Linked DNA regions of Diceros bicornis minor. The protein of the gene in region 1 purifies or fractionates together with the protein of each later gene. This does not show direct contact. Links are inferred from orthologs where the notes say so. Each region holds a gene or a part of one and is shown on either strand. Other genes may lie near its edges.

Evidence for each region.
Region 2: the proteins of CHD8 (region 1) and KPNA6 purify together in Homo sapiens (affinity purification with mass spectrometry; 4 studies listed by BioGRID and IntAct, with this or other methods). This does not show direct contact. The link is inferred for Diceros bicornis minor from reciprocal best matches to the Homo sapiens genes CHD8 and KPNA6.

The regions. Positions count from the first base shown.
Region 1 is NC_080744.1:27,896,204-27,904,481, forward strand, and holds the start of CHD8 (chromodomain-helicase-DNA-binding protein 8), read left to right. Parts: upstream 1-5,013; 5' UTR 5,014-5,085; intron 5,086-6,241; exon of another isoform or gene 6,242-6,527; intron 6,528-8,278. Other genes in the region: RAB2B (ras-related protein Rab-2B), read left to right, coding at 64-132, 784-891. UniProt on the Homo sapiens protein: ATP-dependent chromatin-remodeling factor, it slides nucleosomes along DNA; nucleosome sliding requires ATP. Acts as a transcription repressor by remodeling chromatin structure and recruiting histone H1 to target genes.
Region 2 is NC_080752.1:46,919,284-46,926,547, forward strand, and holds the start of KPNA6 (importin subunit alpha-7), read left to right. Parts: upstream 1-3,987; 5' UTR 3,988-4,127; coding exon 4,128-4,131; intron 4,132-4,171; exon of another isoform or gene 4,172-4,240; intron 4,241-7,264. Other genes in the region: TMEM39B (transmembrane protein 39B), read left to right, coding at 510-752. UniProt on the Homo sapiens protein: Functions in nuclear protein import as an adapter protein for nuclear receptor KPNB1. Binds specifically and directly to substrates containing either a simple or bipartite NLS motif.

The DNA.
Region 1 (8,278 bases):
TCTCTTTTTTTCATTTCTCTAGGTAAACTTGAGGCTAATAATATGATTTTTTTTCTCCTTTAGGCCTTCATTAACACAGCCAAAGAAATATATAGGAAGATCCAGCAGGGTTTATTTGATGTCCACAATGAGGTGAGAAAGGGTGAGGGGCTGACAATTAACTTTGCTTTGTCTTAAACAGGACAGGAAGCTCCCTAGAATATAATTATTCCCTAACATTGTACTATTTGAAGCTATGCCAATTCATACTTGGTTTTTTTATGTAGGTACACAGGAACCCGTCATCATTTTCTGTTTTTCTCTCAAGTCTGAGACCTAGAATGCTTAAAGAAATTAGTTGGTGATCTAAAACGCATATACAGTATGGGAGGTTTTCTTCTCAACCTCAATTTTTACTATTGCAGGGCATGGGGGAGGTGTAATTCTTAAGTGCTCAGCAGGGCCATTTCTATAAAGCAAATTCTGGGGCAAAACAAAAAAGAATTATATGCTAATAAGCTACTTCTACTCTACATAGCTGTGAAACTTAAGTATTAACAGTCACCTTAAAAATGGGTACAAAATACACTTCTATGCATCTGTAATACTTATACCACAGCTGGTCATTTCATCCTTACTGTCACAGATTATTGTTCCACAACAGTCTGGCTAGGGCCCATGGTTACCTGCCAAGGTCGTATTTGCTTTTAGAAAATAGAATTAATGATTTCTCCTTTTATCCTGCTCCTTTCTCCCATTTATTTTAGCGCTGAGGTGGGAACTATTGCCTCTTTTCTTTTACAGGCAAACGGCATCAAGATTGGTCCCCAACAGTGTATTTCAACATCAGTGGGACCCAGCGCCTCCCAGCGGAACTCTCGTGACGTAGGGTCCAACTCTGGCTGCTGCTGAACATCTGGCCTGGACTCTGTTTTTCCTTCCCGGAACAGCTTCAGATCAATAGGCTTAAAGAAAGAGGTCTTACTTGCTTTGGCTGAGAAAGCCTCTTTTCAAGGTGTGATGTTTTGCCTTTCCACTTAAAGACCAGGGGAGAATTTGGGCCCTTACTGACCTGTCCTTCTTCAGGGACGTGAGCATTCCCTATAGATTAGGGCTCTTCTCATCCTCCTATTTTAATTTCTAAAGTGTTAGAATCAAAGTTGATTGTCATGGTACTTCAAAATAAATAAATCCTTTTATAAGCATACACAATCTGCTCCCCACCAAGAATTAGTAACAAGGGTCTAGGACATTCTGCTTGAGCACTTGAGATTCCTGGGATCTGGCTGGCCTTTGGATGATAGATCCTCTGCCTAGGAATTTCATTGAGGTTTTTCACTTGCCACTTCTTAAGGGTTCTTGCAGAAGGCAGTTCCTCCTACTTGAACTGCTCAAGGATGCTGAATACTTCTTTACCATCCCATTGCTAGTTTCTCTGTCTTAGAGTAACTACAAAACTTTTGAGAGCAGTGGAATTGCTCCTGGACCTGTGGCCACTTATCATCATTACCTAAAGAAAACATTCCTTCCCTGTTCGTTTTGTTCTAGGGACCAGACCTAACATTGCAGTATCTTTCACCAAAAAGACCCCTACTGTTTCATCACACTCACTTCTTAACTAGACCTATTTAGACTTTCTACTCTAATCAAGCTAATCTGCTTACTGGACATGACATATTTACTTCCACTTCTATGCCTTTGCACATGCCCCACTCTCTGCTAACAATACTCAGAAAGTCCGAAATTTTTTCCTTCAGAAAGCCGTCTTTGACTGACCTAGGGACATCTAAACAATTATTGACCCAGTACTCCTTAGCTTTCATATGTTGTTTATTCATATGTATATTTATTTGTATTTATATTACTTTGTAAATATGTTTTGTAGTTGTTCTGTGGACTTCTGTCTCCCCATATAGGTTGTAAGCTCCTTGAGAGCAGGAACCATGTTATCCTTTAGCTTCTGTAAACTACTTCCTCCACCATTCCTTTACAGTGCCTAGTGCTACTCATTATGTGTTCACTGAATTTGACTGACGTACTTAAAGACTTAGAACAGGTTTATTTTAGACTGCAGAGGAAACACAAGGCCTTAGAGTCTTCTCTTTGTAACCTCCATCTCTTTCATCTGCTTACCTTGGATTCTTAATTGCTCTTCTCCTGCTCTTCTTTCCCTTCCCTGGCTCTTTGCCTCCATTCCATGCACCATACAGTAAGGCTGCCTGCTTCCAAGCAGTCAAAAAAGTAGGTACTTGTCTAGCCATTTTCCTTTTCAAGAGCTTATAATACTATCCTAGCCAAATTTGCCTTTGCTTTACTCATCATGCAGCCTTCTCAGTCAGTTGCTATATCTTTTTGCCTTGATGTCCTATTCTCTTCCACAGCACTGAGGTCTCATGAATTTTTCTAATTTTTTTTGTTGTTGATGAATTGTTTCATTATTAAATATATGCATGTATCCAAGCTGCTCATATTTCATGTGTCATTTCTAATTGTATCCCAAACGTAAGTAGATACTGTCCTTCTAGGAAATTGTATCAAAGGTAATGGAAGCAGCCTTCTTGAGACATTTATTTTATACTGGATTCTGCCCCCAGTAGTAGTAGTAATAGTTAACACTGCACCACAGGAAGTTGAAAGACATTTGGGGTATTGCTTTGATTATGCTTTTGTTTTGTTTTTTAAAATCCGACCTCATTCCAAAAAGGATTTGAGGCTGTTGAATCTGGGGTTAGCCTGCTCCCTTACTCCAGGGACAAAACTAAAGTAAATATAACTTTATATTTTCTGTACAGGAGATTTTCTTTACCAACCAAAACGATCTTTAGTGACTGGGAGGCATTAGAGCATTGGTCAAAGACAGCATTCTGCCTAGAGCTCCTGCTTTGAGAGACATTAATGGATACCATTTTGATATTCTGGAGCATATCTTTTTAATCCTAAATCCCACATCCAGTTTTAGTATCCAAACCACTCATAACCTTCTGTACTTGGGTATTTCACCAATTGTAAGGGAAGCACAAGAAACACAAGTATCTGGGCAAATTTGTGAACTGTTGATCATTGCTGATGTTCTGAGTGAAATGGTCATGAAGAATTACCATAGAAAGTGGATCTCCCACCGCCATGTAAAGAATGGTAGTTATGAGATGATTAAGGGTGTTGATTGGTTTTTGAAGGCCAGAACCATTGGAAATCATACTATTGACAGCAGTCTAAGTCATACTAAATGATTATAGATCATTGCAGGTAGCAGAAATTATTAGACAAGGCACACTCTTTCCCCTTTCTATAATGCCTGTAACTGGTTCCTTTGATATCAGGTTTATTTTGTACCAAATAAGCAGAAGGATAATAGGTTCTCATTCTAGAAAGTATTAATAATTAAGATCATATCTGTACATGCATTTACAGACAAACACATTGTTCTGGTAAATCCTAATCCTAACCTCAAATTTGATATAATGACAGCAGTAGCCAGTAGACAGGGGAGAATTTGGCCAACAGATTTTGTTCAATATACAGGGAAATATATTTGGCCAAGGCTTATGACTGCCCTGATAAAATATTAACTCACATGACTCCTTAAGGTCTCTGGGCTCCCACCACGTATGACAATGCAAATATGTTATTCCTTGAGAAATTCCTTTAATTGGGAGGACTCCCTTCACTCACGAGTTAAAAAATCAAAAACTTTGGGGCTTGCTAGGTGGCGTAGTGATTAAGGCCACACCCTCTGCTTCTGCGGCCTGGGGTTCGTGGGTTCGGATCCCAGGCACTGACCTACACAATGCTCATCAAGCCACCCTGTGGCGGCATCCCATGTAAAAAATAGAGGAAGATTGGCACAGATGTTAGCTCAGGGACAATCTTCCTCAAGCAAAAAGAGGAAGATTGGCAACAGCTGTTAGCTCAGGGCCACTCTTCCTCACCAGAAAACCAAAACCTTCTTGTAGCAAGTTGTAATAGCAGTAGAGATTTAGACTAGGAAACACCTGAAAAATCTTTCTCATTGAGTGCAAGAGAATTTCACATACGATAAAATTATTTCCTTTCCAATTTAAATGCAGTTATTAGAAAATTAGTCTCTGCAGCCAATGTTTCCAAGGTTGTCCCCTAAGGGCCCTCCTCCTTACATATAATTTCTCCTCTATCATTTACCTATATTCACACGTAGTTTGAGTCTATTGATGAATTTAGGCCTTTTTGAAAAAAACTGAAATTCTTCCCTTAATCCTATTCATTTCCCATTGACTCACAGCCCTCTGTACCGTCAGTCAGAACACTGGAAAACTTGCAAATGAAGCATATGGATTAGAAACATCTACAATAGATACATAACCTTATGTTGGTCATGTGCTGATATCCTGAGGAGTGAGGTGTCTATAAAGGATTATCCCAGGAACTGGGAAAACTCACTCTCGTTCCAAGAATTCATTTTTGCTTCTTTGATTTGGTAAGATCGCTTCACTCCTATGAGGGGGGGGGGGTGGTTGCCTCTAGCTATATTCAACATTATTCCAGTTTCTCCCCATGGCGACTGAGGGACATTCTGATTATATAAACGAGAGTATGTTAGGGCTGGAGCTAAGAAGTCCTACAGAACGCCGAAAAGGGCTTCAAATTCTTTAAGCACTCCTTCCTCCTCCCAGTCCCCAAGTCACGCACCAGCCGGGTCCAAGATGGCTTCCCAGAAACAGGTACCTAAATGTTGTTTTAGTTTAGAGCGCCCCCAACGGCGGGGGTCAAAAAATATGCTGTGAGGCCTGAACGCCTGTAAACTGGGCCATCAGAAGCGAGCTGCCGCCAGATTTTATTTTCAATCAGGCATTATCTGTGGTTGCCTACGTACCCTTCTCAGCCTTTTAGGACCTCCCACCCACAAGAGACTTCCTGAATGACACTCACACTACCCTGCTGGAAGAGGCCGGGCATCGGCCCTGCCATTGGTGGGTCGGAGCGTAGGTGGGCGGAGCCGAAGGAGAATGGACTACTAGCAAGCCAGGTTGAGAGGAGGGCTGGCCATGCTCCGCCGGAAGGCGCCTTGTTCTCCGAAAGGGTGAGTTGAAACGCTCGCTGGCTGGAAAGGAAGCCCCAGGACTTATTCAGGTAGGATTCCCGCTCACACCCGCTGCTCAGTGCTGGTCCAAGAGTGCTTGCAAAAGCTAAAGCTCTTAGAATTGGTTTCAATAACTCATCCTCCTCCTCGCTCCCCCGCCCCCTGCCCGTCCCCCGGTTGTGAGGGATCAGGTGCTGGGTGATGCTCTGGACTGAACCATTCTCCTTTGTGAGAGGCCGGGGGAGAGGGCGGCTGCCGGGCCACAGGGCCCGAGCCCGGACGGGCCGCACGGGGGGCTGCGCCGGCCGCTGTGGAGTTTTTAGGGCTTGTCATTGCCTACCGGGCGTGGTGTAGATTTGAGGCAGCTTCTGGTTCTCCTTGCGCCTTCAGAGGAGGGAAAACTCCCCGGCTCCGTTTGGTTACTCCATACTTGGACTCAGAAGTGGGAGGTTAGGGGGGTTTTCTTTTTTCTTTTTCATTTTTGCTTAGTTTTTGTATTCTAATAATAAAGGTGGGTAGGAACGCTTGGGATGCGCGTGTGCAGATTAATATACCTTCTTAGGTGTAATTTCTGTGGGTCTTTGGGAGAGAAGAGCAGGGTATTGGCGAGTGTTTAGAGATGGTGGGAAGAGAGGAGCTCAAGCTTTGCACCTGCATTGACAGGTCTGCAGAGCTCACTGGTTTTCTGTTGCATTATGTAAACTCTTCCCTGGGAGAAGACCCCTCCCCCTGCCTAGGAGCGAATGCAATTTCTTTATTTACCTGTCCCTAGTGTCGCAGGAAATTTCCCTGCTATTGCAGCTGCTGGACAAATGCAGCAGCTCCTACCTTTTAAGGGGCAGTCCTGAAGTGATTAAGGGTTTCAAAGACGTGTTTAGTGGAGGTGTAGAGGAGTGTAGCTGTTTAGTGGACCAATCTCTTTTCAATGACTGAGCATAGTGAGCCAGAAGTCAAAGACTTAGAACTCGATGTCTTTTTCTTTTTAAAGAGTAGACATGGTGGAACGCCCCAAACACAAGCCAGAGGAGCTGCATTATCGGTGTCTACTGCATCCTGCCATCACACCAGCGTCCAAAGATTATTTGCTCTTCATGTTGTTCTGAGCCTGTCATTTCAGTCAGGGATTCTCTGACTGGGTTATCTTTAGCATCAGCTGAGGTCCTGTCTGTGTGGGGCACTTTAGATACTAGAAAGTGAGTTTGTGATTTGAATACTAATGTCCTCTGTTAGTTAATTAGATACTGTCTTCTACTTAGGAATTTGTTTTGTATTGGTCGCCAAATAGGTTTAGGTTTCAGAACAAATTGTGGTCAGCCTCTTAGGGCCAGAAGGTGGGAAGCTTCTCATTGCAAGTATTTTGGAATTATCCCACCCCTTAAAAGAAGAGTTATGATAAGGAAAACAACATTGTCCATCTAAGAAGACCTGGGTTGCAAGAGTGGCATGCCAGTGGGTCTGCAAGGCAAGATGAAGGGCATTGGCCAAAGAGAGAGTAGGTATGTGTGTGAAGAGACAGGCTTGGGGGAAGGTTTAAAACTGATGAAGCAAAGGAGTAATGCACTAGGATAAGGGATTTGATGGAGCAATGTATGTGTACTTGCACAGTTCACACTTTCCCCAGGTTTGATCTGTCTTGTGCATCTGGCCTTTTGATTTTCTCAGTTCCCAAATTGACAAAATCCATTTAGACATGGATAGAATATGATAGAAATATATAGAAATCTGCTGAGCTGGTTGGGAATCACCAGGAAACACACATCTTGTATTTCCTGGGACAGCCTTATCTGCAGCATAACTGGGTGATGGAGTGGAAGAATCTTGGCATTGTAGTAACCACTACTGCAGAGCTTCAGTTGAAACAGGAAAAATTTGATGTTTTATGTGAAGAAGGGTCGAGTTTCTGACAGGTAATGTAGGATGGTGAGGGGATCATTTTTTGAAAGAAACCGTGTACACGTTTTTCTAAGCAAAAGTACCATTTAAGATTAATTTCTGGGTGCCAAGAAATGTGCTTGCTTACTGAAAGAATGAGATTTGATATTCTCATCTGTGGAAAGACTGTAACATTTTCAGAGCATTCGCATGAGTGTTAAATGCTTTCAAGTTACTGTTTGTCCACAGCCCTGTAAGAGTTAAGCTATCTTCTAAGCTTACATTGAGCCTAATACCTGGGGGGTGAACAGAAGACAAATATGTTTCTGGGCTCTCAACCCTCACCCCTAGAAGTCCCTCAGCTGCTGGACTTGCCTTTGAGCAAGTCCCTGATCTACAGGTCTTGCATGACCTACCCTACACTACTGTGACTAACCTAGTCTTTACCATTTTACCTTTAGCATTTGATTCATTGATAGACTATCATTTCATATCTTACTCAGTTTAACTTTGTATATCTCCTCTTTAATTAGTTTTGTATCCTTTTCTTCACAAAGTTGGTGGTCTTCCTTTCATCCTCCTGTTAGGATTTGTTCACTTTGCTTTTTATGTTAATTCACTGACGTTGTGCCTTTTTGCTTCTGTCTTGGCTGAGGCCTTTTAAGGAATGTAAAGAGACCCTGATTTTCAAGACGTGGTTTCTTTGGTACCTAGTACCCGAGTGATAGTTGTGTTTGTATATAACAGAGCTGTTGTATGAACCGTTTACTATTGCCTAAAAGTTTATTTAACTATTTATTACATTCTAAATTTTATCTTGGATAATCTTTCCACTCCTTAACCTCTCAGTATTGTCTTGTGTATGCAAGTGTATGAAGTTGCAATTTAGCTTTTTTTTGTGTGTTTTCTAATTCTTTCGTATTGCCTTTAAGATTTTCATTGTATTTGTATTGCAAAATAAATCCACCTCTTTGTAGTCACTAGATGTTTTAAATTTAAACTACAAAGTATATTAGTCTCTGAGATTTCTCATCAATCTGTTCTTTAGGTAACATTTTTTGTTTTTTGCCCTTTTACTGTCCATTAAAGGGCTCTTGGTTGTTTAATGTCACAAAATGGTCAACTTTAAAATATCTTAATTCTTGCCTTCAGATTGCAGCAGGAGACTTTTAAAAATAAAACACTTAGGGGACCGCCCATTGGCGTAGTGGTTAAGTTCATGCGCTCTGCTTCGGCAGCCTGGGGTTCGCAGGTTCGGATCCCGGGTGCGGACCTACACACTGCTCATCAAGCCATACTGTGGCAGCATCACACATACAAAATAGTGGAAGATTGGCACAGATGTTAGCTCAGTGACAGTCTTCCCCAAGC
Region 2 (7,264 bases), on another chromosome or scaffold:
TGCCTTGCCCTGTAAACACCAAGTAAGAGTGAGGTATCACTATGTCCCCTGGAAGCTTCTGGCCTAGCTGGGGATGCTACACATGAAGTAGTGGGTGACTCATGCTGTAGAGTCTATAATAACTTTCCATGCCTATGTCATAAGATTCTAATTTGTTCAGGCCTGACAGTACCCAGGAGGATCACATGTAAAAAGGTGTTGATTTTAGACCAGAAAAAGTATGAAAGAGTGAGTAAGACCTCTCAAGAAAATCTTCCTGGAGGAGGTAGAAGTTGAAGAGGATCTTAAACAATTTATATGGGAAGCAGTAGTCTTGACAGAAGGAACAGCACAAGCAAAGGCAGAGAGGTGGCAAAGTCTGCGCCTATCACTATGAAGTCTTCTTCCCCACCCAAGTCTGCATGGGGTCCCAAGAGCTTGTCCTCTTCACTGGCCCACCCAGAACTCCCATCCAAGAAGCAGGTTTCTGGAATATACTTTCCAGTCCATGCCTACTCTTTCCTGGGCAGTTCTTTTTCAGCAAACCCTTGCGGATCCTCAACATCCTTCTGCTGCTGGAGGGTGCCGTCATTGTCTACCAGCTGTACTCCTTAATGTCCTCTGAAAAGTGGCACCAGACCATCTCACTGGCGCTCATCCTCTTCAGCAACTACTATGCCTTCTTCAAGCTGCTGCGGGACCGCCTGGTATTGGGCAAGGCCTACTCGTACTCGGCCAGCCCCCAGAGGGACCTGGACCACCGGTTCTCCTGAGCCCCAGGGCAACCCCAGGGACAGCATCCAGGCTTCAGCCAGGGGCTCCCTGGGAAGGGGCTGTTGGGGAGGGATGGGTGAGGGGCAAAAACAAAAAAAGACAAAAAAATCCACCAGAGCTTTGTATTTTTGTTACATACTGTTTCTTTCTTTGATAATTGATGTGATTATGAGGAAAACAAAAGTCCTATTTTTATACTCCCAATAAGCCTGTGTCCTGTATTTCTTTCCCTTCTTGCCTGTCAGGCAGAAAGCAGATGTGTGGGATTCTGGGTGGGGAAGCCCCGCTGTGGCTCCTGGGGCCCCTGTGGGCTCTGCCTTCTCCAGTGGAAAGGAGATGAGTAGGCACCAGAGGTCATGGTAGCAGTGACAGCTGCTGCTAGCTGAGTGCTCACTGTGTACCGTGCTGCTCTATGTGTATTATAGGCCTTGTCTTAATCCAACTTTCATGATAATCCTAGGAGGTAGGTGCTGTCACTTCTCTTAAAGATGAAGAACGAGCTCAGAGAGCTGTAATGACTTGCCCAAGGTAACACAGCTAGGAGGTAGAGCTGGGCCCCAAAACCTTCTGAAAGGTGACATATTAACCTAGCAGAATGTGATGTCCTGATTCTCTCAGCATGCAGTCACTGAGACCCTGCTCTCTGCTAGGTGCTGTGGTACATGGTGAGGATGCCAAGACACAGAAACAAGTCATACTACACTGGGATGGGTGTAACAGTTACAGGGGAGGGAATGGTTAATGCTCTGTGGACTTCCTGGAGGAGGGGTAGTCTGAGTTGTATCAGCCACTTCCCAGGTGGACAAGAGGGAGACTTGGCAGAGTCTACACTTAAGCAGAGAAAAGCGTACGAGTAATAGCACAGAGATTTGGAACATCGTAATGTATTGGGGGAAGGGAAGCAGAATGTGGTTCCTAGAGCAGAAAGGATAAGGAAAGTGAGGTGGGGGTGGGTTGGAGCTAGAAAGGTCTGCAGGGACTGGATCAGGGAGGACCAATGGCTCTAGGCTAGGGAGAGTGAGTGAGCAAGGCCAAGTGCTAGAGTGGAAATACAAAGCTGCTTGGAGGGCCACCTGGCTCTTAGGGGGCATAGGATGGAGAGCTCAGGAGTAAGAGAAGAGGAGACACAGACAGTCATAGCCACTTGTCTAGTCTGCCCGTGTTCCCCGAGCCCTATTGGCCACAGGATATGCAGATAAGTCCACGGTGGTGTATTAGAGACAGACACTGCAACCAGCGTTTTTGATGCCTCTGTTGAGGAAGGCATTGTGCCAGGTGCTGGCACAGATACAAAGATGAGGAAGATTCTATCCCTTCCATAGACAACCAGCAGAGAGAGACATTGTCATGAGCAAATTAGGGTGCTAAGTGCTGAGGAAAACATGTGTCCAGGGCACTGAGGAGCAGAGAGGACAGACACCCTGACTCTGGAAAGACAGGCTTTTTCAAGGAGGTGAGAGTTGAGTCTTGAAAGTGAGTAGGTCACACCATGGTCAAGAGGAAAGAGAGGGCATTGCATTTCAAGCAGAGGGAACAGCATGTGCAAAGGCACAAGAGAAGATAGGGACATATTTGGGGAAAAGTGGTTCCCCAAATATGGATGGAGCCTGGGTTGCCTGGTGGGGAGCAGCCTAAGAAGCCAGTAAGGACCAGCCCGTGTGTCAGATTGAAATGTTTGTGCATTACCTAAGGGCAGATAGTAGGAAGTTGCTGAGCAAAGGAGTGACATGAAAAGGTCTCTGATTTTAAGGAGATAGTGGGTGCGGGTGGGAGAGCTTGGAGGCAGGAGACCAGTGAGGAGGCAGGCAAAATAGACCAGGAGAGAAAGAAGAGGTCTGACCTTGAGCAGTGGCAGTAGGAATGATACCAAACCAAGTGGGCTCGCCTCCTGGTGAGTTAAATAAGACTCTACACCAGTGGAAGTTGTCTCACAAAGTAAAGTGTATTTGCAACAAATACTAGGCCATGAGGAATCATTTCCCAAGTTGTGGTGTCCCCGAACAAAGGGAAGCAGGAACTTTTATTTCGGTTGGGGAATGAATATTCAAAAGGGAGAGGTGGGTTATGCACTGCAGATTATGGTAATGAGGCTTAATCTCCGCTTGCAGAGATCGCATTAAAAATCAGGCAAGGTCATGGGCATAGCTCTTGTAAAGAGGCTTGGTTGCTTCAGAGTGGTTGCTGGTTTTGTCTCCTTAACATAAAAACACAACTTGGAAAAACAGTTAAATGCTTCCAAACCCACCCTTGAGTTCCTTGGGGCACTAGTCAGTGACAGGAAGAGAAAGGTAGTGCTCCCTTTCCTGACCATGAGTTCTAGAGTGGGGTTTTTGAGTTGTTTCCCTAAATGAGCCCACCAGGCACACAACTAGAGTTGGCAATTTGTTGTGACAGGACCTGGAAGCCCACATTGCTCTTTCTGCTTCCAAAAGGCATCTCCCTCTGGGACCAGTGACTTGAAGACATAGGCTTCCTCTGTGTGTTGAGGTGGAGGACAGGAGGACGGGCATGTCACTATGCAAAAAGGGAGGCCTACTATGTACCAGCCATAAATTCCATGATTCAAAAGGCACATGAACACTCAGAGCCTCAATTTCCTCATCTCTAAAAAGGGAGATCATATCCCTTGCTTTGTGTAACTTACAGGCTGTTCATTTGTTTATTCATTCAACAATTATTTATGGAGCACATACCATGTGCCAGATACTGTGCTAGGTGCTGGAGATACAGTGATGAACAACACAGGACCCACCCTTGCCTTCAGAGAGCTTACTGTAAGGACAAATGAAATAGCTCTGTTGACTATAAAGCACTGCACCTGTCTCATTCTTTTTCTACTTCTTATCTCCCAATAGGGTTGTAATCGGGTTTACTCTTGACTTCATTTCCCTACCTCTATATCCTTGAGCAAGTCACTTCCCCTCTCCAGATGATTCCTTTTTCATATCCAGCTCAAGGGTCTATGATTGGCTTTAATTACGAAAGGAAGGAATATCTTTCTGGGAGAAAAAGTTTCTAGGGGAGGAAATCTCACTATAAAGAGGAAATAGTAGCAGAAAAACCTGGGAACTCCCAGGCACGCTGAACTTTCTTTAGTAGGCATCCCTCCCAGTCTCTCTCCGCCCACTCCTTTCATATTCCGCCCCTATTCCCCGCCTTTAATAGCTGCGGTCTCTTTAAGTGTGCGCCTTGGTGTGAACTAGGCTGCAGGGCTGAAAGCGCGTTTCTTCGCTGGACTGAATATTGAGTTGTTTGTCCGTTTCGGGCTGCCGTCCTGCAGATCCGCCATATTGTCTGCTGAAGCTGCAGCTGAAGCTCGCCGCTCCCGTCGCCGCCGCCGCCGCCGCCGCCAAGTAGGAGCGAGCGGAGCCGCGATGGGTGAGTAAGGAAACCAGGCGATTGGGGACTCGAGCTGAGGCAGTCTCGGGGTTAGGGGTCTGGCGAGAGCCTGTCTCCGGTCTGCAGAGGATATCCGAGGCCCTTTCAAGTAGGTTTGAGGGGAGAAGCCAGGCCGGGAGTGCCGCTCAGGCCAGTTTGGGGCCGGGCTAGGGCCCATGCGGAGATCAGTCTTCGGGGGCTGGTTCTGGGGACACCTTGTCAAGCCTGGAGCCCCCACGTGGTGGCTCTAGGCCGGAGCCTACGCGTTCCCGGAGGCTAGAAAGGTGCCGACCCTCCGGCCTGCGCCGAGACTGGGGCTGGGGGACGGGCTCCCGGCGGCAGGCCCAGCCGGTGCTAAGGGAGCTCTCTCCAGGCGTGTGTTTGACCGACGCGCATCTTGACTGGATTCGGTGACTCCCCTGAACTCAGGGAAATGTTGCCTACGTCGCGGGTTGAGTCCTCCGTTGAGGAGACGCCAGGCGAGCCAACTCCAGGCCCGTAACCAGGGGCAGCCATGCCAAAGGCAGCCTGGGCCGTTCAAGGCCGGGAGAAGTTCCCGAGCCGAGGCGGAAATGGGGTGGTTCGGTTGGTCTCAGAGTGGACAGCCTTCGTAGTGGTAGAAAACCAAAGGCCGAGACTTCGTGGCCATATATAGGTCGGGGACTTCGGTTTCTGCGCCCGGCCCTGGTTAGGAGAAAAGGAGCGACCTGTTGCTCGTTCTGAAGGGACTCCAGCTGGCAAGGCCTGTGCTTAGAATACGATGGCCAAGTTTTTGGACTTAGGGACAGAACTGTCAGTGGTATTTCCTCTCCAGCAATAAAAACTATTAAATTTGCTAAGCTCTTCCTATGTGCAGGCATTGTTCTGACTGCTTTACATGTCACGTTTCACTTAAAGTGCACAGCCTAATGAGATACATACTACTGTTACCCCTATTTTACAGATGGGAAAACTGAGCCTTAGAGAGGCAAAGTAACTTACCCAAGGTCACACAGTGGCTAAACCAGAGTGATCACTCCAGAACCCTAGTTTATAGCTGCTGTTCTTTATGGCCTGGCCCCCTGGTGGTTGGGGTGGAAGAGGGGGGAAGAAAGCTTTTAACCCTAGGGAAAGTTGTAAAGGTGGTTTGCTGTGTTGTTTTTTTTGCTGGTGGGCCGACTTTGAAATCTTTAGTCTGAAGGAAACTGAAAAAACTCCAAAGTGAATTGCTAACCCCAGCTACTGCGTGGGGCGGGGGGGGGGGGGCGGCTAAATGAGATTCTAGGATTGAGTTTTGTAAGATTCCTGATTCTGAGGAAAGAAAAATTATTCCCTTGAGCTGCAATGCAGTGACTTCAGAATCAGATCTGGTATTTTAATCCTGCCTGCCACTTCCTAGCTCTCATCCAGAGAAGTCACTTAAATGTCAAATGCAGTAATGCATAAGGAAAGCATCTAGCACAGTCCACAATAAATGTTATGTTCCTTCCTTTCTGAGCCTTCCTTTCCTCATCTCTAGAAAGAGGGGAGGGGGCAGTGTTATCAAGGTGTTTGAGAACTAAATAACATAACACAAGCGTTTGGAGTCTAGTAAGGGCTCTATAAATATCAGAACAGATTCCTTTCCACCCTCAATGTTAGTTCCTTTCCCTTAAGCACTCTGGTTTCCAGAATCCTCCATTAAGACTGATAGGCCTGTCTTTATAACTGCAGCTTTATGTATCAATGAAAAATTTTAGGGGTTTTTATGTTATAGATTTTTGTGTTGGCCTTCAATTTCAGAAACCCTGGTGTCTCAAAGGGAAGTGGCTAATGTTTAGTTTATTAAGCTCAGTGAAATAAATTTGGTAGTGGTTTACTCAATTTTTATAGACTGGGGAACTACCTGAGAGAAGATAACACAGCTAGTAATCAGCAAAGCCAGAAGTGAGATTCTTACCCATTTTGCTGCCCGTAAACCTCTTACAAGACATAAGGTGTGAAGTAAAGTTAGTCCTTTTTTAGTAGACTTGGAAATGAAAGTTCTTCACTGGAGCAGCAAAATCTGACCAGAGGCCCGAAGGAGATTTTTAGTCTAGAGTCAGGCAGCCTCTCCTTTTCTCTCCAACTCCATTTCAGGTACCTCTCACCTGTGCCACTTTGTCTTTTTGAACATCCAGCTATTGGTGTGTGTTTGGAGTTTTTTGTTTTTGGCTGATTCTTATACCATGGGAGTGAAACTAGTGTAAGGATACATTTAATCCTGACGTCAAATCTGAGATAGTTTGGGTTATCCTCATTTATAAATGAGTAAACTGAGGCTTTCAGAAGATTAGGTGACTAGTCCAAGGCTGGTGATCTAAGCCCTTTGAGTGCTGGGGACACTAACAGGGCCTGCGTCACATTTCCATGAATCTAGAACCTGCTGTATTTCACTGCCTCTCAGGTATACTCTCCTTGAGCTCTGGCCTATATCCTATACTATTTCTCACTAGCCTTAAGAGACCTTTGTAGTGATTTCACTGCCATTAGGAGCCCTGTAGGCTTCATGCAGCTCTGGAAGTTACTTATTCTGACCCTTCCTATCAGAGACCACAGCCTCTCAAGACTAAGTCTTGGCAGATGCTGGTTGTTTTATCACCATTTCTGCCGTGTTGCTTCCCAGGAATCTGGCATCCCCTCCCCAGCCTCAGAGGGTGGGTCTTGATTAATATAAACTCTAAACCAGTCATTGTAATTCTATCTCCCTAGGCAGTGATTGCTTTAGGCATGGGCATGTGACGCAGTTCTGGCTAATTAGATGTGGAGAAAAGCCTAGGGGACTTCTGGAAAAGCCTTCCTCATTTCAAAGAGATTTGCCTGGTTTTATTATTTTTTGCCAGCTTATATTTTAACCCACGTATCACCAAAGTGTGAGAGCCTCAAAAAAAGACAGAGAGATGGGAAAGCTATAATGATAGCCAACACTTATATAGAACTCGCTATATGCTAGACACTAAGTTCTATAATATTAACTCATTTAATTCTCAGATTCTCATGTTCTACTTGAGGAAACTGAAGCACAGAGAGGTTTAGTAACTTTTGCAAGGAAAAGAGCTAGTAGAAGAACCACTTACTCAAGTAGTATGGTTCTAACCAAAATAGGGGCTATTAAGGTCTATATTCTGCCTCTGGA